Linked DNA regions of Nothobranchius furzeri. The protein of the gene in region 4 interacts with the protein of the main gene of each other region in a pairwise test. Links are inferred from orthologs where the notes say so. Each region holds a gene or a part of one and is shown on either strand. Other genes may lie near its edges.

Evidence for each region.
Region 1: the proteins of ntaq1 (region 4) and lonrf1 interact in binary tests that used the Homo sapiens proteins (3 or more experiments, as listed by UniProt). The two-hybrid records come from large-scale screens. The link is inferred for Nothobranchius furzeri from reciprocal best matches to the Homo sapiens genes NTAQ1 and LONRF1.
Region 2: the proteins of ntaq1 (region 4) and kctd1 interact in binary tests that used the Homo sapiens proteins (3 or more experiments, as listed by UniProt). The two-hybrid records come from large-scale screens. The link is inferred for Nothobranchius furzeri from reciprocal best matches to the Homo sapiens genes NTAQ1 and KCTD1.
Region 3: the proteins of ntaq1 (region 4) and edaradd interact in binary tests that used the Homo sapiens proteins (3 or more experiments, as listed by UniProt). The two-hybrid records come from large-scale screens. The link is inferred for Nothobranchius furzeri from reciprocal best matches to the Homo sapiens genes NTAQ1 and EDARADD.
Region 5: the proteins of ntaq1 (region 4) and mif interact in binary tests that used the Homo sapiens proteins (3 or more experiments, as listed by UniProt). The two-hybrid records come from large-scale screens. The link is inferred for Nothobranchius furzeri from reciprocal best matches to the Homo sapiens genes NTAQ1 and MIF.
Region 6: the proteins of ntaq1 (region 4) and psme3 interact in binary tests that used the Homo sapiens proteins (3 or more experiments, as listed by UniProt). The two-hybrid records come from large-scale screens. The link is inferred for Nothobranchius furzeri from reciprocal best matches to the Homo sapiens genes NTAQ1 and PSME3.
Region 7: the proteins of ntaq1 (region 4) and kelch-like protein 12 interact in binary tests that used the Homo sapiens proteins (3 or more experiments, as listed by UniProt). The two-hybrid records come from large-scale screens. The link is inferred for Nothobranchius furzeri from reciprocal best matches to the Homo sapiens genes NTAQ1 and KLHL12.

Annotation. Positions count from the first base shown.
Region 1 is NC_091746.1:77,560,115-77,563,614, forward strand, and holds part of lonrf1 (LON peptidase N-terminal domain and RING finger protein 1), read right to left. Parts: intron 2,865-3,500; coding exon 2,670-2,864; intron 2,582-2,669; coding exon 2,181-2,581; intron 2,099-2,180; coding exon 1,984-2,098; intron 1,903-1,983; coding exon 1,781-1,902; intron 1,698-1,780; coding exon 1,539-1,697; intron 1,421-1,538; coding exon 1,258-1,420; intron 1,122-1,257; coding exon 969-1,121; intron 1-968.
Region 2 is NC_091751.1:52,385,324-52,389,408, forward strand, and holds the start of kctd1 (BTB/POZ domain-containing protein KCTD1), read left to right. Parts: upstream 1-1,285; 5' UTR 1,286-2,041; coding exon 2,042-2,281; intron 2,282-2,860; coding exon 2,861-3,039; intron 3,040-3,705; coding exon 3,706-3,850; intron 3,851-4,085. UniProt on the Homo sapiens protein: May repress the transcriptional activity of AP-2 family members, including TFAP2A, TFAP2B and TFAP2C to various extent.
Region 3 is NC_091752.1:9,549,922-9,553,421, forward strand, and holds part of edaradd (ectodysplasin-A receptor-associated adapter protein), read left to right. Parts: intron 1-1,752; exon of another isoform or gene 1,753-1,843; intron 1,844-2,027; coding exon 2,028-2,086; intron 2,087-2,410; coding exon 2,411-2,453; intron 2,454-3,431; coding exon 3,432-3,500. UniProt on the Homo sapiens protein: Adapter protein that interacts with EDAR DEATH domain and couples the receptor to EDA signaling pathway during morphogenesis of ectodermal organs. Mediates the activation of NF-kappa-B.
Region 4 is NC_091759.1:9,346,730-9,350,169, reverse strand, and holds ntaq1 (protein N-terminal glutamine amidohydrolase), read right to left. Parts: upstream 2,196-3,440; 5' UTR 2,102-2,195; coding exon 2,037-2,101; intron 1,848-2,036; coding exon 1,748-1,847; intron 1,537-1,747; coding exon 1,486-1,536; intron 1,404-1,485; coding exon 1,255-1,403; intron 1,185-1,254; coding exon 1,060-1,184; intron 972-1,059; coding exon 829-971; 3' UTR 501-828; downstream 1-500. Other genes in the region: ribosome biogenesis protein bop1, read right to left, coding at 3,150-3,303, 3,390-3,440. UniProt on the Homo sapiens protein: Mediates the side-chain deamidation of N-terminal glutamine residues to glutamate, an important step in N-end rule pathway of protein degradation.
Region 5 is NC_091741.1:91,262,145-91,265,656, forward strand, and holds mif (macrophage migration inhibitory factor), read right to left. Parts: upstream 2,149-3,512; 5' UTR 2,039-2,148; coding exon 1,931-2,038; intron 1,043-1,930; coding exon 870-1,042; intron 766-869; coding exon 699-765; 3' UTR 501-698; downstream 1-500.
Region 6 is NC_091756.1:48,472,636-48,475,634, forward strand, and holds the end of psme3 (proteasome activator complex subunit 3), read right to left. Parts: intron 2,972-2,999; coding exon 2,853-2,971; intron 2,133-2,852; coding exon 1,996-2,132; intron 1,891-1,995; coding exon 1,836-1,890; intron 1,037-1,835; coding exon 950-1,036; intron 876-949; coding exon 795-875; 3' UTR 501-794; downstream 1-500. UniProt on the Homo sapiens protein: Subunit of the 11S REG-gamma (also called PA28-gamma) proteasome regulator, a doughnut-shaped homoheptamer which associates with the proteasome. 11S REG-gamma activates the trypsin-like catalytic subunit of the proteasome but inhibits the chymotrypsin-like and postglutamyl-preferring (PGPH) subunits.
Region 7 is NC_091755.1:52,045,803-52,050,082, reverse strand, and holds the start of kelch-like protein 12, read left to right. Parts: upstream 1-1,480; 5' UTR 1,481-1,556; exon of another isoform or gene 1,557-1,626; 5' UTR 1,627-1,708; coding exon 1,709-1,766; intron 1,767-2,232; coding exon 2,233-2,459; intron 2,460-4,280. UniProt on the Homo sapiens protein: Substrate-specific adapter of a BCR (BTB-CUL3-RBX1) E3 ubiquitin ligase complex that acts as a negative regulator of Wnt signaling pathway and ER-Golgi transport.

The DNA.
Region 1 (3,500 bases), on a different chromosome or scaffold from region 4:
ATAAAACAAGAAGTAAATACCGTATTTTCTGGACTATAAGTCGCACTTTTTTTCATAGTCTGGCTGGTCCTGCGACTTAACAAAGTGACTTATATGCCAAATTATGTAAACCGCGCTGCTGCGGGCCGGCTCCGGTCCAGGTTTCAGCTCCTCTGCCCCACTGGGAGGGTTTCAAACACCGCCATCACCTGCTGCAGCCTGTGGCGGGGTGGTGCGGGCGCTCTACCTGCCTGCTGGGAGGGTTTGAAACACCGCCATCCTCTGGTGGAGACCGTGGCGCGCTGCTGCGCCCTGATTCTTTATCCTGTTATTGTTACCGGTACTTGTCTTGCAATGTGAAACGCTTGGTCTCAAATTTTGTAAGAAAAATAATAAAATTTCCCCCCAAAATGCAACTTATAGTCCAGTGCGACTTATATATGTTTTTTCTTCTTCTTCATTATACATTTTATGGCTGATGCGACTTATACTCCGGAAAATAGGGTAATCTAGTTACAGCTGAGGTAGGTAATGTGCAGGTAACACCTTGTTTGTTCCTGACCAATAAGCACACCTGAGCATGGTTACCTTCCTCTAAGTGTTCACATTAACTCTGATGACGACACACCGAGTGTTGAAATGTTGGTAGCTGTTCTTTGCGTCCGCTTTGCTAACGGCTGATTAGCTGCAGCAGCCATCTTGGTCACTTTTGGGTTTTTCCATTAAAATCCATAAAATGGATAAAGTGATTCCTAATTGTGCTTGATACAGTGGACAGGAACCCCCCACAGCACAAAAATGGTTTGGCCCATCTCCAATATGGTCTATGCGTGCGCGCGCACGCACGCACGCACGCGCGCACACACACACATTTTGGTGAAAGTAATTTAAACCCTTAAGATTGCTGATATTCTGCCAACGTGACCTCTCTAACACTTCAAACACATTATTTGTGTCGTTTAAACCTCCTCCACAAACCGTTCCTGTACCTGGATGTCAGCTTCTCGCTCTGGCATTGGTCCAAAGTGCTGCAGAATCTGATTGTGGAAGCGGATCTTCAGGTTCTGGAACCAGACCTGGGCCTGTTCGTACACGGCGTCGTGCAGATCTTGTAGCTTTTCCAGGACTTCTCTGTCCACCACCTGACAGATCATCACTTCATCAGAGTCTTAACTGGATACATTTATTTATCTGATTTATTAGAATAAGTTGTAATGACGTCGGTTTCTTTAGAGGCACTCAGGGATGCCCGTAACATAATGTTAAGGTGGTTCTCACCCTGTTGTCCTCCAAGTGTTCGATGTCTGCAGTGTTGTAGCCATCCTTCATTCCTCTGGTCAAGACTCGGAACCTTTTTCCTCCGACGGTATCGACCACAGATCGTCCGTCAGGGAGGAAATGGACGCTCCTGATGATCAGCATGCAGCCATAATCTGCAAACCTGCAACATGAACATAAACGCTCCTTTTACTAACAGATCAGTCTGCAACTGCTCTGCGTCCAGAGTTATTACTACAAGGACAGAGCATATGCACACGTGTGTATGTTAGCATGCTCACCCCTTTTCAGGCTCACTAATGCACATCCCAAACTGCTGCGTGCCCGTGTCCATGCAGCGGCGAATCATGAGGCGATAACGAGGCTCAAAGACGTGCAGAGGACAAGGCACAGTTGGGTAAGCCATGGTACAAACAAAAACAGGCACATTCTTCATCAGGCTGCAGAGAGGAACAGAAAGGTGGATTATTTAGACTGGTTGAGAATCTTCTGCACACCGGTAAGGAAAAGAAAGGCTGCTTACTCGGAAAGCTCCTGGTTCTCCTCCAGGTGGGTTTTAAACCTCTCTTCATGCTCATGCCTCAGGTGCTGCTTAATTAGCGTGTCCAACACTGCTGTCACTGTGTACTTCCTGAATGCTAGATACTGAAAACACCAGAATTAATGTCACAAAGGAGTGGCGGTGTGAATGAGGAGGCTGATTTCTCAGGAGTGGAACCGTCTTACCTCTTTCAGACTCTCCTTGCAGAGGGGACACTGGGGGGTGTGGTCCAAGCAGCGCTCCAGGCAGTTTTTACAGAACGTGTGGCCACACGGTGTAGACACCGGCTCATAAAACAATCTGTGTTGGTCAGTGAGATGTAACGATCAGCTGGCTCATCGGACAGGTTTACACGTGCGGTGGCTCTCTGGGGTGACCTTACCTCATGCAGAGGGAACACTCCAAGTCGTTGGGGTCCAGCAGATCCTCGGGAACTTGTCTGCAGGGTTTCGCTTTGGCTGTTTGGTGTTTGGAGCCTTTTGTCCAACCTGAAGTCATCCAGAAGCAAAGATTAAGGATTAATCTCATTATTGTGCCGTTAGGAGTGACGGTGAAGGCCGGGAGCTGACCTTGTTTTTTATATTTGCTACTCCCACTGTCCACCAGGTAGGCCTCCACGTCCGACACAGACAGCTTCCTCTTCAGCAGGCTTCCCTTGTCTTGATCGCCCAGCTGAGGAGCTGAACTAACTCTCTTTAGCCCTTCTTCCATACTGCTGGAGCCGTGCATTCGCAGCGACTGGGCTCGGCTCAGACCGGGGCGCTCTGGGCTTTCGCACCGTTTCTGAACAACGACATGAGAAAGTGGTGGGGGTGTCACTGGATTAGTCTGACTGAATAACCTGTGACTGAAGAGTTCACCATGCAGGTACCTCCTGGCTGTCTGTGTGGTGGGCAGAGGCGGCGCAGACCCGGTGCCGGTGCCGTCTCTGAACCGGGCTCTGTGGCTCCACGGAAGCATTTTCTACAAGAGTTTTAGTGCGTAGGTGAGGCAGCGTGCTCTGCGTCGTTTCTCTCAGGCCGACTTTCACGTTCTCATCAGCTGGAGAAAGCAGGTCGCACAAAATCTGCAAAAACAGCAACTCTGGTCAACGTGATTTCTACAAGACGGAATAACGAGTCAGAAAAGCTGCAGACCAACACCAGAAAGCAGATTTATAACCAAACATCTGCAAAACATATAAACATTATGAACTTTTGAAAAGTCTGCAAAGTTTTGGAGCCATCTTGTAAACAAAGACAAACCGTAGCCCTGAATAATTGTTGATGCACAATGCACGAGTGAAATGTGTCACTTACATAACTACAATGCTGTCAGTGTTCTGTCATTAAGTGGTACTAATATCATTACAGAGTCACAGGACCTGACCTACTAACTCCTTATGTAATTCCAATGATCACACAAAGGTAGAAAGTGAAGTTGACATATTTACAACACTGGGTAAATGTCTCAACAAGTCTTTAGGTCCGTTTCTCGTTTGGCTGCAACTAGTCGGGGAGACAAAAATGCAAAACTCAACGCAAACGTGCTCAGAACAGTTCTAATGGACATCTTTGCAGCAGCTTTTATCCACGGCTCTGTCCCATGCAGAACTGGATGCAACTGCAAACGGTTTGAAACAGCCGTGCACATTTTATTGTCATATCTTAGTCATGAATGTTTTAATTATATCTCTGTTTTTTTTTTGTCAAAACCTCCCGAA
Region 2 (4,085 bases), on a different chromosome or scaffold from region 4:
CTCTTTTGCCCCGCAGGCCCCTTTGCCTTCTGCAAGGGATTCTGGAGTTGAATTTTAAAAACTATGTATGGCTGCTGCCTGCGCTTATCAGCGCGTGCACAAGTGGCATGCAAATCAAACGAGGATCACACACCCGCATTGGAGGCCTACACTCAAAGGCAAGCTTAATTGCTAATTGGGTATCTAGGTGTGAAACCCACATTGCCAATGAGAGGGAGGAACGTGGATGTTTTAAGGCCAGTGGTTGAACTAATTAATTTTAATCTGACTATTATTAAAAACTGCAAATTCTCTGCATTTTCTGTGGGGGAAACAGCCCAAGAGAGTGCTGTGGAAGGAGTTTTAACTGCAGTTGGACATGTCGTGGTTGGGATTTTATACCGCGTGATATCATCAGTGTAGATGTGTGATAGCGATGTGGTGATTAGAAACAGGGGCTGAAGAGCTAAACTGTGGCCAATAGCGCCAACAAGTGGGAGCCAGAGGGAGGCATTAACACACCTTCAGAGTTACTGCCCCATCCCTGTTCAGAATGTTCATTTACATCTATTGATTTATGCTTATGTTGCTTATTTACTGCAACCAATTTCTATGTATTAGAAGAACTATTTCTTTGTTTATAATGCTTTTTGACCATTATTCTTCAATCATTGTAAAGCCCGACCTTTACTCCTGGGTTTAATTAATAAGATTTGTGCAGCCATGAAATTAGCAAAACAACCAAAGGAGTGGGTAGAGCCTCCAAAAGTGTGTCTTAAAACTCCTCTGCAATAAATTCACTCTCATTTTAAAATGTTTGATGCACTGGAATATTGCATTCGGTAATAATGAACAAAACACCAAAATATAGTTTATGTTTAAATCTTATTCACTGTGAGGGTCATTGCAGCACGTGGAAAACCAAATTGAAGCTATTCCTAGTCACATTTAGCTGTGGAATGGCATCCCCTTCCTTAACCTGGAGCTTGTGTTTCTGGTAACAGCTTGCTGCTCAAATACCATCAAAAGACTCCTGCAGAGGATTCTGTCACTTTTTTTCTCTTTGCACAAACATGTCTTGCAGTGATGCTCTTTCCACAGATGCATGATCCTAACACAATTTCTAGTGATAATAAAGTAAAATAAATAAATAAATAAACCCACTATTCCTTATTTTTGTGCTGTTTATATGACAATATTGTAATTAAACAATCAAAAACATGTATGGGTGTTCATGTGCCACCCCCATTGCCGCCCCCATAACTACCAATTTGAAATTTGTCAATGCTTGCCAATGATTGTAGCTCTTAAGTGTCACTTTAAAAAAAATCAACATTGTTGTTATTGTGGGGCAGAAGGTTTCCTCTGATCTGTTTTTCAGAGCTGATTTGGACTGATTGAGAGAATAGGTGCTGTTTGATTGCCATGTTGTAGATATTTGTTTGATCCAGAGGGTGTGTGTTGGCCACAGCGTTTGGGTTGGTCACTGTTGAGCTTGTTTGGTGCTTTGAAAGAGGTTTTGACCCGCTAAACCAAACAGCTGCTGAACAAGGGGCATCAGATGTGATGAGGGGAGGAAGAGGAGGTGACCGCTGTTGCGCCTCCTAAAGAGGGCAAAGGCCAGCTGCGGTTGCGTCCAGATGTGCGCGGCAGCAGCAGCAGCATCACAACGTTTATCTAGTCGGGCTGGGTTTGTTTTACTCTGAAAATGCGACACACATACGTGCCAGTGAAACAGCGACAGCCCAAAAGAGCCTCGGGCGCCACAATGCTAACGTTGTCTGGGGCTTTGACTTCTCCCAGCCAGTGTGAAGAAGCTGCTCCGCGCGACAGTCACGGCGCTCCTCCGCCGCTCTTCCTCTCGCTCTCTCCCGCTATTCACGCTTTTTTCCTCCGTCCTACATTCTTTTTTTCCCTCTGTTAGAATAAACGGTCCCAACTCTCTCTCTCTCTCTCTCTCTCTCTCTCTCTCTCTCTCTCTCTCTCTCTCTCTCTCTCTCTCTCTCTCTCTCTCTCTCTCTCTCTCTGCGTCGATCGCCCTCTGAACCTTTAACGCGTGAGCATGATGGACGAAACGGATATCATGGATCTTACGCATCAGAAAGCGAAGAAGCGACCGCGTCCAATCAGTTCGGTGGATGAGTCCGTGCATGCGTCGCTCAAGCGGCTCCCGATGCGAGCGGCGGAGTGCAGGGAGCCCTCACTGATGTTCGCTGTCAGAGGAGAGCCGGTCCCCGCTGCGTCTCTGAAGCAGAATGATCACTCGGTGGCTTCCTCTCCAACCACAGTTATGCCAGCACAGGTAATACTAATAATGGAAATACTAAAAAACGATGTTTTCTTATACAAGTTAGAATTATTATTTTTTTATTTTAATTGCCTTCTTTCCATCATTTGTGCGCATATTTTTTTGCATAATATTGCCTTACTGACTTTTCTGCTCTTTCCTGATTTAATTTTTCGTTTTTCCGTTTTAGATGCACTGTTTTTTTTCCCCCTTTCACTCAAAAGTTTGAAACTTTTTTGGGGGGAGAAACAGCTATTCAGTCGCAGCTTATAAGAAAATTGTGTTTGTAGGTTAATATGAGACTGATTTTCCCACCAAATCCTATTATGGTATTCAAATCAAGAGTCATTATTGCTCACTTCCAAGAGAGATTGATGCTCCAAATTAATTTGGTTTTGGAGATTATGGCCCACAGGAGGTAGATGCTTGTAGACTGTGGCAACATTCAGGTCAAGGTCAGGCTGCTTCTATCCTGTTGGAAGAAAATCCTCCAACCCTGGCTGTGGAGTGGGAAGAAACAGATTTTTGCATCTGCAGTGTTTTAATTCTGTCGTCATTTTGAATTTATCTTTTCTTTTTTTTATGCTTTTCTAGGATAATCGCTCCAGCATGTCCAGACCCATGATTACGCGGTCACCAGTGTCTCCTTTGAGTAACCAGGGCATCCCCACACCTGCACAGCTCACCAAGTCCAATGCCCCTGTGCACATTGATGTGGGCGGACACATGTACACCAGCAGTTTGGCCACCCTGACCAAATTCCCAGAGTCTCGGTGGGTCTTACTTGCTCGATTTTCTGAAAAAACTCTCTGCAGTTTTAGGCTAAATGTGTTTAGCAGTGTCACGATTTCCTCAGAGTTTAATGTCAGCGTGTTTGATGTCATTATGCGACAGTCAAATGTCACAACCCTTCAAATCTCACAAACACACTTGGAACAGATAGAGATTTAGTGTCAGGTACTTATTTTTTTAAGCACTCAGGTGCATCAAAGCACTTCTTCTGGTGAAGTCGGCAGTTATTTTAAGGGGTAAACAATCCTGTGAGAACACAAAGTGCAGAATGCAGAGCCCAGACAAAAGCAACTTGCTTATTCTGACAGATGTCACGGCAGCAGCAAAGAGCCAAAGGGCATGGAGCCATCTGGAGGCCGGGAGGCCACGCTGTCGCTCCGAGAGCAGGCCTCAGGGTGACAGGCACCCGGCCTCGGGCAACCCAGCACCAGCTGGACCTGACCTCTCCACTCCACCTCTGATTTTAATCCTTTCTTTTCTTTCTTTTTCATGCACATATATTACTCAGCCTTTCTCTCTTTTTGTCTAAGCCTCCTTGTAGAGTCCATCACTACAGTTTGTGCTTTAATAAATCAAAATCTTAATCTCAACATGTTGTTCTCCCACCTCTCTCCCTCTCCTCCTCCGTCCTCCCCCTCCCGCTGTAGAATTGGTCGTCTCTTTGATGGCACGGAGCCTATAGTCCTGGACAGCCTGAAGCAGCACTACTTCATTGACAGGGATGGACACATGTTCCGCTACATTCTCAACTTCCTCAGGACGTCCAAGCTCCTGATTCCAGACGACTTCAAAGTGAGTGGGTGACCATCCTAGAAACTGTAAAGTGCCATCAGCTAGTCAGCAGTCCTGCAACTTAGCTCACACAATAGATGCTAAGGCTATAGATCGCCTTTGGTCATCGGTCTTCGTTGAGATGGTGAAAACCATTCTGGAGATAAAATATCAAGAATCTAACAAAAGAAATGTTGAATTTTGGTGACACCAGTGAGCATTTTTGCAGGTAATCACGTGCATTGACTGTATGGCA
Region 3 (3,500 bases), on a different chromosome or scaffold from region 4:
AAGACTGAGGGAAGTACTCACACATACACACGCTGACACACATAAACTCACACCTACATACACTGAACTGGGGAATGGACATGCATACACACACACACACAAACACCGAACAGGGGCAGGACATGCACACACACACACACACACACACACACACACACACACACACACACACACACACACACACACACACACACAAACACACACTTACACTAAGTTGAGGACAAAGAGGCTGGAGCTGACTTGGGAGAAATGATCTTAAAAGGGTAACAACATAAGACACTTTAACTGAGATGCAGACAAAAGACACATGTGGGCGCTATGAGACACAGAAGAGAATCTAGAGAGGGATGGAGAAACATCAGGAGACACATGAAGGAAGACGCAGATGCAGACCATGACAGATCCCAGCTGGACTTTTATAGACTTTCACCAAATTTTGAGAAATCTCAAACTGAACTCAGAATAGCAGGTTCACTGAGAATCAAACCTTTTTACTATTTTTGATGTATGATCGGTCCCTCTGAGCTTCTCATGCTGGCTGAACATGAAATAGTCTCCTACACCTATCTCCTGCAGTAGCTTCTGATAGAAAACAGAAGGTGAAACTCTAGGATTAGAAAATCCTGACCTACGCCACACTGTCACTAAAATACATGGACTCACCCATCATGGAGATAGTGCTAGGTAGGTAGAGCGGGCTGTCCAGTAATCAGAAGGTTGCAGGTTCAACCCCGGCTCCCACCAGAGAATGCTGCTCTTGTGTCCTTGGGCAAGACACAACCCAGCTTGCCTGCTGGTGGTGGTCGGAGGGACTGGTGGCATCTGAGTTCAGCAGCCTCGCCTCTGTCAGCACGCCCCAGAGCAGCTGTAGCTACATTGTAGCTCATCCTCACCACCGTGTGAATGACTGATTGTGTTGTGAAGCGCCTTGGGGGTTATAGAAGCCTAACAAGGCGCTGTACAAATACAGTCCATTTACCATCTTGGCTCACAACGGGGAAGGCTGTTGTTGGTTTAGCGTCCAGGCAACAGCAGAGAACGCCTCAGCCAGTAGAAGCTATTGCTAGCATTAGCATCTCCACCACACAGCAGAACTCCTCCATGCTTGTGTTATTTGTGGAGATAAAACAGAGTCGTGTTGCTGTTAGCCAATCAGAGGTGCAGTTGTTGATTAAATGTTAAAATGTTTCACATCATACGTGTGTGTGTGTGTGTGTGTGTGTGTGTGTGTGTGTGTGTGTGTGTGTGTGTGTGTGTGTGTGTGTGTGTGTGTGTGTGTGTGTGTGTGTGTGTGTGTGTGTGTGTGTGTGTGTGTGTGAGGTCCTGTACCTGAGCTAAAGCAGCTGGTTTAACCGATGGACACACATGGCTGCACCTGGAAGGCTGCGTGTCGGAAACATACGATGGCTTAATCCTAAATCAGGTTTCCCATGCAGATGAACTTTACTCCTTATAGCGTGAAACCCAAGAAAGGCCAGAGCGTCTCTTTATTTTGGAGCTCTTTGGACACAATGAGTTTCCAGTGACGTGGGCTCGTGACGTCCCACGGCGCCCCGCTCAGGTATTTTGGGAACTGAAAAGCTGCCTTTGTGCTGCTCCCAGGATGACCTGCTGAAAATATACCCACAAGGGCTGAAGCTACTGGATTTGTAGGTTTTATTCCTGTTGTAATTCCTGAGTTTTATTTTGAAAGAACAAACACAGCTGAAATGATTTGTGGAAGAATGATGAAAAGCCCTTTTCTTTTGTCAGGTTCTTCACAGGAGATAAAGTGAATTAGGCCTCTGGTCCGGTTGTGGTTCCTCTCTGGTTGATCAGACTCATTAGGTTGCTGGTGGCTCAGGTAGCTGTAGTTTACTGTTATTGGTATAAAATGCGTCATGCTTTCAGAGCTCACCTCTTCCTCGGCAGCAAGAAGTGGCTTCCTGCTGCCTCTTTGCGGCTGACACTTTGACATTCTGTAGGAAGTTGCTGAAATGAGACTTGACTTGAAATAATGACGATGTGTCTCTGTTTTGGTGGGACAGGCAGAAGCAGCTCTGAGCCAGTGGAGGACACGGACACCACCAGCTTTATGACAGAGATTGTAAGAAACCACTTCCTAATTCTCTCCTCCAGCCTTGACTTTGACATCTGCTCACTGTTCCAACTTGCTGATTGTCCAGTTTAATGATTTTTTTTTTTGTTCGTGATTAGAAAGCCCTGTAATCTGAGTAAAGTGCCAGAACCAAGCAGGCCGTGCTGTGATTGTGAGCGCTGAAGGGCTCGTTTCAGAGCAAGTCGAGGCAGGCTGTTCTCCGTGTCTGCAAACACGAGAGGCGTTTAGTGCCTGGGCTGCAGGCCGGGTCCACAGAGCTTCACACAAAGCAAACAGGCCTCTTCACTAACCTCGCCTTTGTCTCTTCCACAGTCGTTGGAGGCCAATTATCCTGTTCAAGTCACAGATCCTCACGGTAATACGACTCTCTGCTTCAGGGTCAAGCAGAAGGCTGCTTAGCTGCTAGTGACGCGACAGCAAAATGCTAAATATTAGGAAAGTTTCTTTCTACATCGATGTGAAACATGAGATCAAAGTTGCTTTTCTGACTTTGTTTCAAAGTCTGTGTGTTTTAGCCAGTTTTAAGAAAGTTTCTGTTAAAACTTTATAAATGATTTCACCCCTAGATGAACAGCCTCAGTCTGGAGAAATAGTCTGTGTGTTCCTGACACCTCAACGCTGTTCATTCATCAGAGCCCTGCAGGTCTTAACATAACACATTTATTCTTATGTAGTTTGGCGCATATCAGTTAATTATAATTTAACTTTCTTAGATGTTAAAGTCAGATTTTCTCGTGACAAAAAGTGATTTTAACGATGTAGGAAACAGGAAGAGTTAATAGGAAGTCCACTCTTCATACAAACCGTGCCAACTTTATTAATAAAACACACAGAAGCAAAGTGCTGCACACTAACTTCACATCAGCACATTTAAACATGTATGCTTTCACATGAAAGTGAAGCCTGTTTCATCTTATTACCACCCAGCCTGAGGGGAAAAGTTCATAAAACAACATCCCATAATGCGCTGTGATGTTCTGGAGCGGTTTTAAGACGACAGCAACAGAGGCTGTTCAGGAAGTTGTCTCAAACATGCGAGATAATAATTATTTATGACTTTTGGAGAGAAAAACACTCCAGAAAAGCCCAAAACTCCTTTAACCACAGAAATCAAATGTTTTCTGTTTTTATCAGGTTAGGATAAAGTTGAGTTAGTTTAAAGTGAAACACTAATCAGGATGGACGAGAAGTGGAGATAAACTTTAAACCCCAAACAAGCAACATAGCTGAAGGAAACGTTAAAACCAACACAAGTGAGAAAAAGCTGCTGTGTTGTTTTAGACAAGCTGGGACTGGTTTTTCATCAGAGCTGACGGTAATGATCCTCCTGCAGATGCTGTGACGCTCCACCTCAGCTCCATGCCCTCCAGATACCTGAGCCCCTCCTCTGAAGACAGGATAA
Region 4 (3,440 bases):
TCCAGAGCCGCTGGTTGCCGACCCCCGTCCTGGTCAGAGTTGTTGTTGTCGCTCATGTTTGTTCTAAAGAGATGTGCATTTCTCAAAGGGACAAAGAACTCAAAAGAAAATAATCTTAAAGATTGTTTGATTGATAAAATAAAACAGGTTGCTTACTTTATCTGGATGTTGCTGTCCTGAGCTTCTTCCAGAAAAGAATTTGAAACCAAACATGCCTGATCCTCCTGTTTAAACCAGTGTCCTAACCACTCCTGCCATACTGAACACAAACATATGACAGGTGAAAGTGATTGCACAAGTTCCACCAGTCATCTATAACGGTAAATAGAACTTATACCCAAACACAAATCTGCTGTTAACTAGAATCTGCATAATTTCACCAAGTTTTAATTGTTAAAATATTCTGGAAACCAAGATTCAAATTGACACCAAAAGTTACAATTATACATTTAATTTTTATTCTATCATTGCGCTACAGAGACAGAGAATCCAACGCGATCAAAGATTAAATAAAATCTTTTTATTTCTCAGGAACTCAGGTGAAATCAAGGTGCTGATGCTCAAAGTTCTCACAGGCGTGTGTGATGAAGGATCACTTCAGTTTCCAGATGAATCTGTGACATGGCTGAAGCGCTGTCGTCGTCATGTTTCTGGTTTCCTCTGAGCTTCAGAGGCCAAGGTGAAACTCAAGAGAGGTCAAACGAGATGCAGCTCAGCCCAAAACATAAAGTTCAGTTCAATGTTTGTCTCAGTCTCTCAATCATTTCAGATTAAATGTTCATAATAACATAAAAGCTAATCACAAAACAGCAGCTGCCAGGATGCTGATCAGGATTGAGCTGATGATGAAGATGAAGAGGTGGTGGAGGAGCAACCTAAGTATTTCTGTAGAAACTGATTCAGACTGAAAACTGTCCCCCAGCCAACAGCTGGGCTCATGCTGATGAAGTCATCCAGGTTCATCTGACACCCTGAAGAGGAAATGCACCAAAAGTACAAAATCACCTTTTCCTAAGACAGGAATCAGAAAACATGCTCCACATTAACTTGATTTGTTACCAGTGGTCTTTAAAGGGGGGTAAGAGGGAGGGGGCTTCTTCCAGCTCCCATCAGGGTTCTTCATGTGAGTTCGATCAGACGCAAAGTTCAAGAGGAAGCTCTCAGCAGGAATCACACGCAACTTCCTGTCACAGATATGAGAAGGTGTTGGTGATTTCACTCCAGTGCATTACCTGTGTAATTCAGCAGTGCTACCTGTGATATTCAGGTTTGATGTGGTGGTCTGAGCGGAGGGCCTGGCTGCCATAAAGCCTCAGATTGCATGGGAATGACAGCTCTGTGTCCAGATCATAAACCAGAACCTCCGACTGAGGATCCACATGAAGCAGGATCACATGGTAGTCCTAAAACACCCAAAAAAACATGATTAACAATGTATTATTTTAATGCTCTGAGGCCACTTTAACAGGAAGGAGAATCATAGACCCAGATCACTGGATGGTCAGCGTGTCCAGACTTCTGCTTCCACAGAGGAACCTGAAGGAGAACAAATAACATCACTGATCAGCAGCAGCAGCAGAAGTCAGATCTTAGTGAAAATGTTGATTCTTTATACAAACTTGGCAAATTTAAGGGGATTCGTGATGATTTGTTAAACTTTAGACCTGTTGAGACTAAATCTGTTGAGTTAAATATGTTTAAAGGGTTTTGTAACACATGACAAACTTCTCAGAGCTGATCTTCTCACCATTCTGTTGTCATTAGAGATGAAAACCACAAAGAGCTGTTCCAGTGGAGCAGTCCTCGCTGTTTGAACAAACTCACACAACTTCCACACATTCTCCTCACTGCAAAGCAAATTAAGACATCACTAATCAAACAGCAAAAATAATCTAATAATAATAAAATCATATCCATAAGAATGTAGCAGCTACCATTTAAGCCAACTGCGTTTTGCTACAAAATTTGATGAATAATTATGTAAAACCCAACAAACTGGAGTTTTTTTTAATCATGATGTAACAGAATGGATTTACCAGTAACAGCTGGTGTAAACACAGAACTCACGACTCGGTGTGATTCGATCCTTTACTGCCTTCATGGTTCGGTGTTACACCGAAACCGCTCCGACGGTGTCACTTCGAAATGTGTCCCCATGGTTGAAAACTCTTGTCACATCAACTTCATTATAAAGAAAATTGTTTGTTTTTTGCTACAAAATTTGACGAATAATTATGTAAAACCCAACAAACTGAAGTTTTTTTCATGATGTAACAGAATGGATTTACCAGTAACAGAACTCGCGGTTCGGTGTTACACCGAAACCGCTCCGACGGTGTCACTTCGAAATGTGTCCCCATGGTTGAAAACTCTTGTCACACCAACTTCATTATAAAGAAAATTGTTTGTAGTAAATATTCTAAGAACATTTTGCAGACCCTGGTACCCGAATATTTTCGTTAAACATAGTTCCCGCTTGTGTTCAGCACAACTGATACATAAAGAAAGCTGATATTCTTAGAGATTTTATTCTTAAGAGAGGCCTTTAACCTGGTTAAACAACAGATACAACAAATATTCCCAGGCCTGCGCAGTCGTGCATTTACATGGTTATTACAAATACTTTTACTATTAGAAACAAGCTTTGTACAAAATACCCAAAAACTTGGTTCAAGTTAAAAATATCCATAATGATGAAATTTGAAGCACAAATACTTTATATTTGGGATAGTCCTAATTTCTGCCTCTGGCAACAAAACAAACAAACAAAAAAAAAAAACCTTTAGAGCTGTAATTATGTTGATAATTTTAGATAATTTTATTTCCTTTTTGAAAGCTGTAATAAATGGTCTTGTTTTTCAAAAAGGTAACCGCAACACAAACTCCTTTAAAATGAAGGCAGACAAATAAAACTACATTTTGTAGGTTTTAAAAAAAGAATCAATAATTCTCCTAGTTTTAACATACAGAGACAAATTGTAAGAACAATATATTTTATTGAAAACAATAAAATACATTTTATTGAAAACAATAAAATAAACTACAGAAAACAAAACAAAAAAAAAAGAAGAAGGTATCCTGGTAATCAGTCCATTAGGGAGGTCAGACTCCTCCCACACACACACAGAGCTGCTGCTGGTTAAAACACTTTAGGTGAAGAGCCGGATGGTGGCGTCAGCTCCTGAGGAAAAGACCCACGGCTGAGTGGGGTGAAAGATCACGTCCAGAACACCAAGATCGTGGGTGATCACATGACCTCTGAGAACTTTTACAGGTACTATCAGCGGGTTCTGAAGCAGGTCGCTGGAAGAGACGGCGGCAAGTTTTAATATCCTGTCTTTTATAAGTCTTGTTATGAATAGATTTTCAGGGTGTGTTTGTGGTCTTACTTGTAAACAGTCCCGTGACAGACGATCACCGATCCATCATCAGACGCCGAG
Region 5 (3,512 bases), on a different chromosome or scaffold from region 4:
GGACTGACCCATCTTAAACCTTTGTCGGCTGTGCTGAAGAGAAAGGTACAGAACCAAATTATTTAATTAATTGGCTACGCGTTCTCCTGTCCTCTGTCATCCGGGCCACACACACACACACACGGGACTGTCTCAGCTGTTATTTTCGTTAAGGAGTGTGCACGTACAGCATGCGCACCTCGTGCATGAGCCTACTATTGAAGCTGCCGTCACGCTTTTGGCCTGAGGGGGCAATCGCGAGCATAAACATTCAAAACTCCGTAAAGTCCCTTTTAAAGGTCCTATATCATGCAAAATCCATTGTTGAATGTTTGAAAGAGTGGGTTGTGAAAATAACTTCCATTTCACAAAAATGACATCTCAATAATGCCAATGGTAATATTTATCATATAGTGTGCCTACTATTGCTCTGTAAGGTGTGAAATAGCTGCATGCAGGTCCTTTAAATATGATAAAGTTTCTGAATAGGAGGGCTTACTGACCCAAACAGAAGATATTCATTAATTGTTTCACGTGATTTTCTTTATTCGTTTAATTGCAAAAGGGTCAGTACATAGCAAGGGGGTCCAATCAAGTGCATTTAAGGTACCCCTACAGTATTACCTGGATAACAAAGTGTCTCAGCTCTTTGCTTTATTTACCCTAATACAAGTAGGAAAACACTGGAATGATCTTTTATTTCAGTCTTGACCTCCATCCTAGCCAAAAGTGGTGTTGTTCCAGGCCACATTGGCTGCATCCATGTCCACAAAATTGATATAAATTCTAAAACAGACACCAGAAGAAAGAGGTTAATGAGCAATGAATAGAGGTTGTGTGTTTGATCAAGTCCTACAAAGAGGATCAGCATGCTGATGGGCTACTGTTACCTGTCAGCGGAGACTCCCAGGTGTTTGTTGAGCAACCCACACAGTAGTTTTGAGTACTGCTTGTTCTGGGCGCCACTGATCTTGCCGATGCTGTGGAGGGAGCACAGAGCGCAGGGGTCTCCCTTTCCACCAAACATCATCATTTGGTCAGGGTTAATATTCACAGCAATGTACTGAAGAAAGATGAAGGGAAAAAAGCAATATTAAGTGTCAAACCTAAGTGAGTGAACAAGTCAACAGTTCTTGAAGCAAAGACAAATATTTTTCCATTGTACCTTTACTAATAAGTCTCCAAAAATATTTGTCTGTACAATTTTTTTCCATATTGATGGAATTTAGTCTTTTATATTGAAAGATTTACAACAGCGCTATTTGTAACATTCACTTTTCTGTAGATTTAGCTTTGTTGAAGTCTGTCATTCAAAATCTTGCTTTAAAAATGTTATACTGTACTTTGCTATCGTTTCCCTCAGAATTTTATTTTTTTTCTTAAGATTTCTTTATAATTAATATTTAGATTTTTGAACCTTTAAGTATTTCTGTGTTGAGTTGTTTTGGTGTTTATTTTAATCTTAGTCTTTATTTTTCTCCTGTTGTGGATGTGGCAAAAACATTGCCTCAAAAAAAGGAGGGATTTTCTTTTCTATTAGTGTTTATTTTCGTTTACTTTAAAACTATTTTATGTTATTATGTTCTTTATCCTTTTGAGTTTAGGTGTTTTTTTAATGCTCATCCCACTCTGAAGTAATTTTATTTATTCTTTGTAATTCACTTTATCCATCTTGCATCTGGGAAATTTGGACCAGTGATATATAATCCAGATTAATTCATGTAATTATTTTCAACTATGCAAACTGATCCAAACTGATGAGCCGCTTCCGTCCCTGCAGGTAATCTCTAATGTTATATTAGCATTTTGACAAACATTCTTTCATAATGGATATTATTTAGTATGGTACTGATGTGATTTAGTATATATATCGTTCCATATATAATCAAATGCATCATGGTAAATGATCTGCAGGGTTATAATGGTCTGAAGGAACATCTTCCTGACCTACCTGAGCAGGTTTACCCATCGCTTTAGCTAACTCCTCCGTAGCCTCGGACAGCAGAGCCGCAGGCACGTTGCTTTTAGCCACGTTGGTGTTCACCACAAACATCGGCATGATTGCTTTTTATTTCTTCTCTCCAGCTCAAGCTGCAGACGTTCTTCGTCTCTTTCCAGATCGTAAAGAAGCCACGAGAATGACCTCTTCCTCCTCCTTAAAAATGAAAAACTAATTGACCACAGCGCCACCTCTCATCCTGGAGGACACATGGCAACAAATTTTTAGGCCACATTAGGTCACCAACCTGAAGCTGAGAGCTACTTTCAGGGTTGTGACTGAGCGTTAACCAAGTTTGATACAATAGTGAAAATTTGTGAATTTTGGATTAAAAAGAAATCCTAAGCCTAACCCTAACCCAAATCCAAATCTAAATCATTGATTGGATCAGAAAGCTGGTCTTTAATAGAAACATAAACATTTTAAGGGAAGTTTGCACTTTTGTTGTTAAGAACTTTTTTAATTGCAATTTATCAAAGTTTGTTTTTAACTTTTTTGTCGGTTTTTTTGTTTTTGAAGTACCTTTTTCTTTGTATTGATTAAAAAAGTACATAATAATATACAAATATATAACCTTTGAACTAGAATAGATCAGAGTTAAACTAAAATGTATTTACTATAAACATATTTAAATATTTGTAAAGAAACATGTAGGTTTTAAATCTATAATAATGCATTTGCGATTTTAAAAGATGGCAGCAGGTTTGGAGAAAAGGCCTGTGGGCACCAGATTGGTAAATCCCTTCTTTACACATTTACAAAAGCAAATATGTTCTGACCATCTACATATATACTGGACAATTCATTTCCATAGGCTCCAATAACACGTTTTTGTGCAAAAATGGGAGGTGGCCACCACCGCCATTTTGACCGTGTCACAGGTTCCTTCAAGCCCAGACAATTCTACAAAAGGGAAGAGAGGTGGAGCTGAGGGTGTGGCTGTAAGGCTGGGATCAACTGACGACACCCGGTCGAACTAGCTACAAGCTAACCCAAAGCTAACGCAGAGGTGGGAGCTAAGCTAACGGAGGTAGCAACCTAGCTACAACCGGAGTTAATTGTGCACAACACCAGAGCTTCTGAGTCAGAGATACGCCGGGCTGACCGCTGGGTAAAACCGGGTGGAACACAGAGGTCTCCCGAAAGCTGCTGGAAGCCAGCAGCCCACGCAGCAGACAGAAGCCGCGATTAGACAGAGATGCGCAGAGCTGCGGGGAGGGGAAAAACGGGTGGAAAACATCGGTCTCCCTAGAGCTCCACAAGCCGATAGTCGGAACCCAGCTCCACCAACATGTTATATTTCAACCCATTTTCTATAGTGCAGCATTATCACAATGTAGTTGTGAGCCTGTGTGTGTATTTGTTAGCGGCTCCGCCCTCTCGGTCTGCTAGGCTACAGCATTTGTTGCATTTTTCAAACAGGAAGTGGGAGTGGAGTAAGAATCTGGTAGGGGATGACTCATTCTGAGTTATTTAATAAAAACAGTACAAGTGAAAGATGGAGAATGTCACTAAAAATTATTAAATACTTTGG
Region 6 (2,999 bases), on a different chromosome or scaffold from region 4:
CACAACTAAAGGCATTCAAACATCCCGTGTTTGTGGGGGGAAAACATGACTGTGTGAACCATATTCTTGTAGAAAAAAATGAAAGATAAAGGTTAGTTTTACAAATGTGATGTAGTCCAGGAAGAGGCGGAGCTATAACCCTCTGATAGGTGGCTGTATAATTAGTAAAAATAATTTATTATAACTACTTGTCATCCTATGATCAGATGTCTGTCTGGTAAGCAACAGATAAAAACCGTTGTATCAAAAATGGTTTTATTCAATAGAACCAATGCTGACTTATGCATTTTCACTGAAAACCGTTAAGCCCACAAATCTAAAACGTCTGACCTGACACCTACACAATGTAATAATGTACAACATTCAGAGAACAACAGGTTTTTGTTTACCGGTAATTTCATGTCAAACTTACCAGCATCATCCAGATCCAGAAAAGGTTCAATGAGACCAATTCATATTCCACAAAATATCAGCTACAAAAGAAGAAATGTCACAAAGGATCTGGAGACAAGATGTTTAATTAAAATTAAAAAATACATCGTGCTTTATGTTGCCTATAGTTTACTGTCCCATTTTCTGAGAGAACTTTAACGTTTTTGAAGGAATTAAAACAAAAACACATTTACAATTAAAACAAAAAGGTGTCCATCTATGAAGCTATGTTTTCATACTGGGCTGAGTCGACTGTGTTGAAGTGTGTTGAAGTGTGTGAATGTCTAGTTTTCCTGCAGATGGGGGTGAGGCTGCTGCCAGCATGTAAGAGCAGGGAGATGACAGGGAAGGAGAGACCGACATCAGTACAATGCATCAGTATTACTGCTTCGAGGCCTCTTGATCTTCTCAATGTTCTTCAGTATCATGTCGTGTAACGTTACCTTCATGAGAGAAAAAGCAGGTTTAAGGACAACAAAGATACACGATGACTAGACTGTTATTGAAGACAACGCACATATTGGTTTCTGAGCTCCGAAACTATGATCTTCAGACTGATGTACTCCTTCTCGTCAATTTCTGTTACCGTGCGCCGATAGTCCTCCTGATTACAAGGAGAAAAACGGTTTGTAAACACAATGAAAGATAGATAATGGTCAGAAATCTTGATATGTAAATATGAAAAGTATAAATAGCCAAATTTTTCATTCATCCCAAAAACAGCTTGGAAAGAAAACATGTTGCACACACGTAAGCATCTTGGAACAAGATAAGCAGACTTTCAGGTTATTCTCAATCTTGTAATTTTCACATCATTTATAAACATTGCTGTTAAATCAGCATTAAATGTAGCACTTCCAGCACACACGGGGTTGGGTCTGGCGGATATTTTTTAATTAATGCCAAAATAACAAAGTAGCCCAAAACAGATGACAGTATGGGAATTAGTAAAATAACATTTGCATGAACTGCTGTAACATGAGTAGTTTTAGGACTATTGGCATAAACCTTATTAGTCATATAGCCTGTTTAGCAATAAGATTGTTCTGAAAGCTATCTAAAGGGTTTAATTAATAACGATAATAATTTCACACAAAAATAACCTTTATGAGTTGCACTTACTTCAGCAACACACAACACCACTGAGGTAAACATATTTAATACATTAACTACCTTATAGGTGGTCCAAAGGCACATAACTAATTTGAACCACTTTGTTAGGAAAGGCGCAGCAGTTTGACTAAAAAATGCTTAAATCACATCAAGCCTTCAACGACAGTCAGACATGGACCCAAAATCACGTAAATGATGTGAGAAATGTTTAGGACATTTAAACATTCTAGCATTAATTCTATTTCCAATACTTGGAATAAAACTGAATCCATTCTAAGATAACTACTTACCACATGTGGATATTTGGCTATTTTAGAAACCAGCTTTGCCCTTGTGATGTAGTATCTAGGATTAAAAGAGGAATCAAACAACGTTTGGACACTGTAAAAATACACAACACCATTTTGCTTTGTTTAGAAATAAATCCATATGTTTGGAGCCTCTGCAGACCTTGAAATCTGATCGAGGTAAGACGCAGCCTCTCCTTCGACTGTTCTGAGTTCAGCTACCGTCTCCTCCTGGATTGAAACGCCAAAGTTGTTGCCATCCTCTATCCTGGGGATGAGGAGCTGAACCCACATTTTAACCTGCGGGGAAAAAAGAAACAATTTGAGTGACAAAGCATCAGTGATACGTGAGGTGTGGCTAGTCAGGATGTAAAACCAACACATATACAAATGATCAACTTAACTCATATTTTAATACATCTGCGGTGGTCTCTAGTAGGCAGGAATGCCTTGTAAATTGTGCTCTGAAGAAAAAAAAGCTCCAGTGTGCCTGTTTCAGGATCTAGAAGTGAGCCAGATCAAAGCGGAGCTGAACACAGCAGGATTTGGAGTCTTTTTTCCAAATACTTGGACATCTCGTATCTCTTTGGCTAACAGCAATGCGATTCTACCAGTGACTCTGTTTAGCAACACTGATGTTTCATCTCCACAAATAACACAAGCCTGGAGGAGTTCTGGAATGTGGTGGAGTTACTAATGCTAACAGTTAGCTTCTACTAGCGAAGCCATTCTCTGCCCTTTCCTGGACTCTAAAACAACAGCCTTCCCCGTCGTGAGTCCATGAATGTTAAGTGACAGGGTGACGTAGATCTGTCAGGATTTTCTAATCCTAGAGTTTCACCGTCTATTTTCTATCAGAAGCTAATGCAGGAGATAGGTGTAGGAGACCATTTTCATGTTTCGCCTGCATAAAAATCTCAGAGTGACCAATTATAATAAGAATTATCATTAAAAAATGTTTTTCCAGTAAGGTTGACATTTAAGGACACACATTGAAAGAGACAGACACGGATGACTTACTGTGTTACATTTCTCTATGAGTGTCCTGATCTCTGGCTTGACCTTTTCAATAAGCTCCACAAGGTTTGTGTTGCACTTCATCATCCCACCAGGCATGACGAAGACCTTTGTGCCCGTCACTGGAAGATAATTAAATAACTGTTAGGC
Region 7 (4,280 bases), on a different chromosome or scaffold from region 4:
CGAGGACGCGCGGGAGGCATCATATTTCTGGGAAAAAAACGCGTCTCGCTCTTTGGGGAGCGCGCACGCACACTCACGCACTGTGTACGTCATCGCCCCGGCTGCCGGTGAATTTGGCAAGCTGTTTTAACATTTAATATAATTACATTTAAAAAGTAATTTGAACGTCAGTGTAAATATTTCTGTCAAAATGACAATCTGAATTATAAAATCAAAACCAATGATAACCAAAACTGTCACAATATTAAAATTGTGTCTCAAGTTTTCCATAACTGAGACTTTGTCAGGGAAAACAAACTTTTGAAGCAAATTATGTCAGCTTTCCATTAATTTATATTAGGTTATCCCCTTCAGATGTGGCAAACATATCTGTCCATGTCTTTGTCTAGTTCATATTTCCACTGCACAAGTGAGTTGACATTTGAGTTCATCTTTTTAAATGGCACTTTGGTCACAAATAGCATTTTACTTCTACACTGTGCATAGAAATGAGTAACATGTCATAACATTTGACATTGTTTTATTAAATTGTTCTGCATTTCTACTGCATTACTGTTCTTTTTAACACAGCAAGTGTTATTTTACCTTGTTTTTGCATCAGGTAACAACATCGAGTAACAACATCAGGTAATAACATCAAGTAACAACATCAAGTAACTACACCATATAACAACATCCGGTAACAACATCGGGTAACAACATCAGGTAACAACATTAAGTAACAACATCAAATAATAACATCATGTAACAACATCTGGTAACAACATAATGTAACATCATCATGTAACAACATCTGGTAACAACATCAGGTAACATCATCATGTAACAATATCAAGTAACAACATCAGGTAACAACATAATGTAACATCATCATGTAACAACATCAAGTAACAACATCAGGTAACAACATAATGTAACATCATCAGGTAACAACATCAAATAACATCACGTAACATCATGTAACATCATCAGGTACCAGCATCAGGTAACATCAGGTGACATTAAGTAACAACATTATACAACATCTTGTAACAACATCAGGTAACAACATTATGTACTATCATCATGCAATAACATCAGGTACCAACATCAAGTAACATCATGTAACAAAATCAAGTAACAACATCATGTCTGAACATCAGGTAACAACGTCATGTAACAACATATAGTCATGTAACAACATATACTACAACAGCAACAACAACCACAGACTAAAGGCTATTCATTTTACTACGAACAAGTGAATTCTGGATTTTTGTTTGAAAGTTCGTGTCCAACTATTATATGATACATCTGCTTGCCAACTATGTTGTTGGTGGCGCTACTGTGACCCACTGCAGTTTAGTCAACGTTAAATTGTTGGTGTTCAAAGATCGTTCTGGGACATAATATGAGATAATTTTGATATTTTGAACAGACCCGTCCCCGCGGAGGCCGTGTGTTGGTGTGACCTGACGGAGGTCATGATGGATTAGGGCGGTTTGAACTGAGACTTTGGTGCTGCTACAGTTAGTTAGCAAAACAACTTAGCTAGACGTTTTGACTCTGCCCTGCAGGTATAATGCAAATTCTTGCCAAGTTCTTGTGTGTGTGTCGCTTCTTGTTTTGTCTCCCTCTGGCCTACAGGCCGCTTTTGTAGCTGCTGTTTTCTGAAGTTGTGTGGCGTTGGCGTTAGCCGTCAGCTGTTGTTCAGTGCTGCTTTTAGCTCATGTGTAGCTATAGTTATTGCCTCCCAGTGGTGGAAAAAGTGTTAGGATCTTTTCACGGTAAGTTTCATCACCACGATCAAATAAAAATCCTGGTTCTAACTAAATGTACTTGTAGTTTCAAACATGGGTTTTTGTTTGACAAATACGTTTGTTTTATTCTTTTTTTTTTTGTCTGGTTTTAATCAACATATCAGCTTTTAAATACCTAAGGATGGATAATACCTGTTTGTGGACTCTTCCACTGACAGATGTGACATTATTTGATGTCTTTCCTTGTTTTTTTCTTCCAAAACAAAACAACAAACCAATACACACACATCTAATGATTTCTACAGATTCATCAAAAATGTTTTTTCAGTAGTCATGATGGTTCCTGAATAATCTTTAACTAATGAGCCAATGCTAAAGTTTTTATTATTATTATTAATCCAATAATCCGGTGCTTCCTGTCTCTGTTCCTGTTCCCAGATGGCATTGTGGTCTGCAAGAATTCCGTTTATTTGTCTTGATGTATTTATTTTAGGTTCCTGTGGGAGTTTGAGATCTATGACGGATCCTCCAAACAGCATGGCTCCCAAAGACATCATGACAAATTCCCATGCTAAATCCATCCTCAATGCAATGAATTCACTCCGCAAGAGTAACACACTCTGCGACATCACTCTGAGGGTGGACAACGCGGATTTTCCTGCTCACCGGATCGTCTTGGCTGCTTGCAGCGACTACTTTTGTGCCATGTTCACCAGTGAGGTAGAACTTTCTTTTCAGGACTAAAATGTACAAAACAGTTTTTTTTTTAAATATTCACAATTTGGGGGCATTTCCCCTGTTTGGGTTAACTATTACTTGTAACTTAAATGGATGTGTGTGGATTTTATACTGGATGTACAACAAATTTTTCAAATCATTTGATGGGAAATAAAAAGAAAACCTAAATTTATTTTAGGAAGAGGTTCTGTTAAGTACAGTTGTATTGTAGGAACACATGAGTTCATCCCAACATTTGAGACTTTATTTAATATTTACATAATATTAGTTTTACTTCCAACATGCTTCATAAGTAAGAGATGCTGCAGAACAGCACCCTCAGCATCCATGTGTTATTCTGACATGAGATCTTTCAAATCCAACAGATCTTTTTACTTAGTGAGTAAATAACAGAAGTCTACATTTTACCGTTGTGTGTGAGCCAAACAAAACAAAACTTCGGACGTTTGGAAGCCGCACAATGACAGGCCTACAAATATGGTTTCATTTGCAGGTCTTTTAATAATGGTTTATTTTGTTATTTAATGCTTTCACTGGGGATAAAGCTTGTTTTGTTGCTATAACAGGCTGAAATATGTAGACATTTTGACCTGGAACAGCTTGCTCCAATGTGTTAAGACAGTTATTTCTAACTCACAACCAGAGAGGGCTACTTCATCAGAAATCAGGTCAGTCTTGCTTGCAACTGATTCAAAAGTAAACAGCACATCAATAAGTTTTAATCATCCAAGAGTCACAGCAATGCTACTAAATGAAGAAAACGGGCGTAACACAGGAATTTCTCCCATTTTCATCGTATTCATCTTATCTGGAGAAAACAAAGCTTACGTTCTTTAGATAATAAGTTGTTGTCATCATTAGAAAATGAGCACAGCACTTTTTCAGATAACTGAACAGTCGACTCTTGATCTGAAGGAAATCCCATCAGACCTAAAAATAGCTGCTATCTGCTTCCATGCTAAGTGTTTAACTTTTCATGAAGCTGCATTTGCAACCATTGCATCTAACTGAATGAAAACACTGTTTGCTGCTCCATTTATAAACGTTTTTACCAGCTGATGTTAATAGATTCTGTTTTACTTGGATCCATCTCTTAGTTAACAAGATACTTTAATTATTCTGCTCCAACCTGGAGGGAGTGTTTCACCTTTATACGGTTGAGAACAATGACATCGGTCTTAGAGGAGCTGATTCTCATCCCAGCCCTCGGCCCCCAGCTGTGAAGCATGCTAGTGCACGCTAAAGATCATAGCCTGAAGATGCTAACAGAACCACATCATCTGCTGTCACCTAAAGCAGAGATGAGACCCAAACCACTCGACTGCGATGTGAGCTTCCGTTCATGAAGATTGCTGACAGGATCAGACACCAGTCCTGGTGGAGTCTAGCTACTCAGGCAGCGAGTCTTTATCATGCTGCATCATCAGAGATCCTGCTGCAGGGTGTCATTCAGGACGTGCCTTTTATTGGCAGGTTTGATAACTTGTTTTCAGAGCTGTCAGCTTGTGGGTGGATTGTTCAGACTAACACTGGACCTAAAAATCCCTCCTAGACACATTTGAACATACTAACTGTTGCAGGATGGATCTCTCCTCAGAGACAGTGTTTGTTTAACGGAAACCCTTTTGCCCCTCTAAATGCCGATATAATTACAGGGCATAAATATCCTTGTAAGGGAACAAAATCAGAAAAATGCATCTGGAGTTTTTTTTCTCTCTTTTCTACCTTAGAGCAGGGACTCCCTAAGTGTGGTGCGCGAGCTGCCGCTAGGGGGTGCGCGAGGTGAAAAGTGTAATGGCTGCG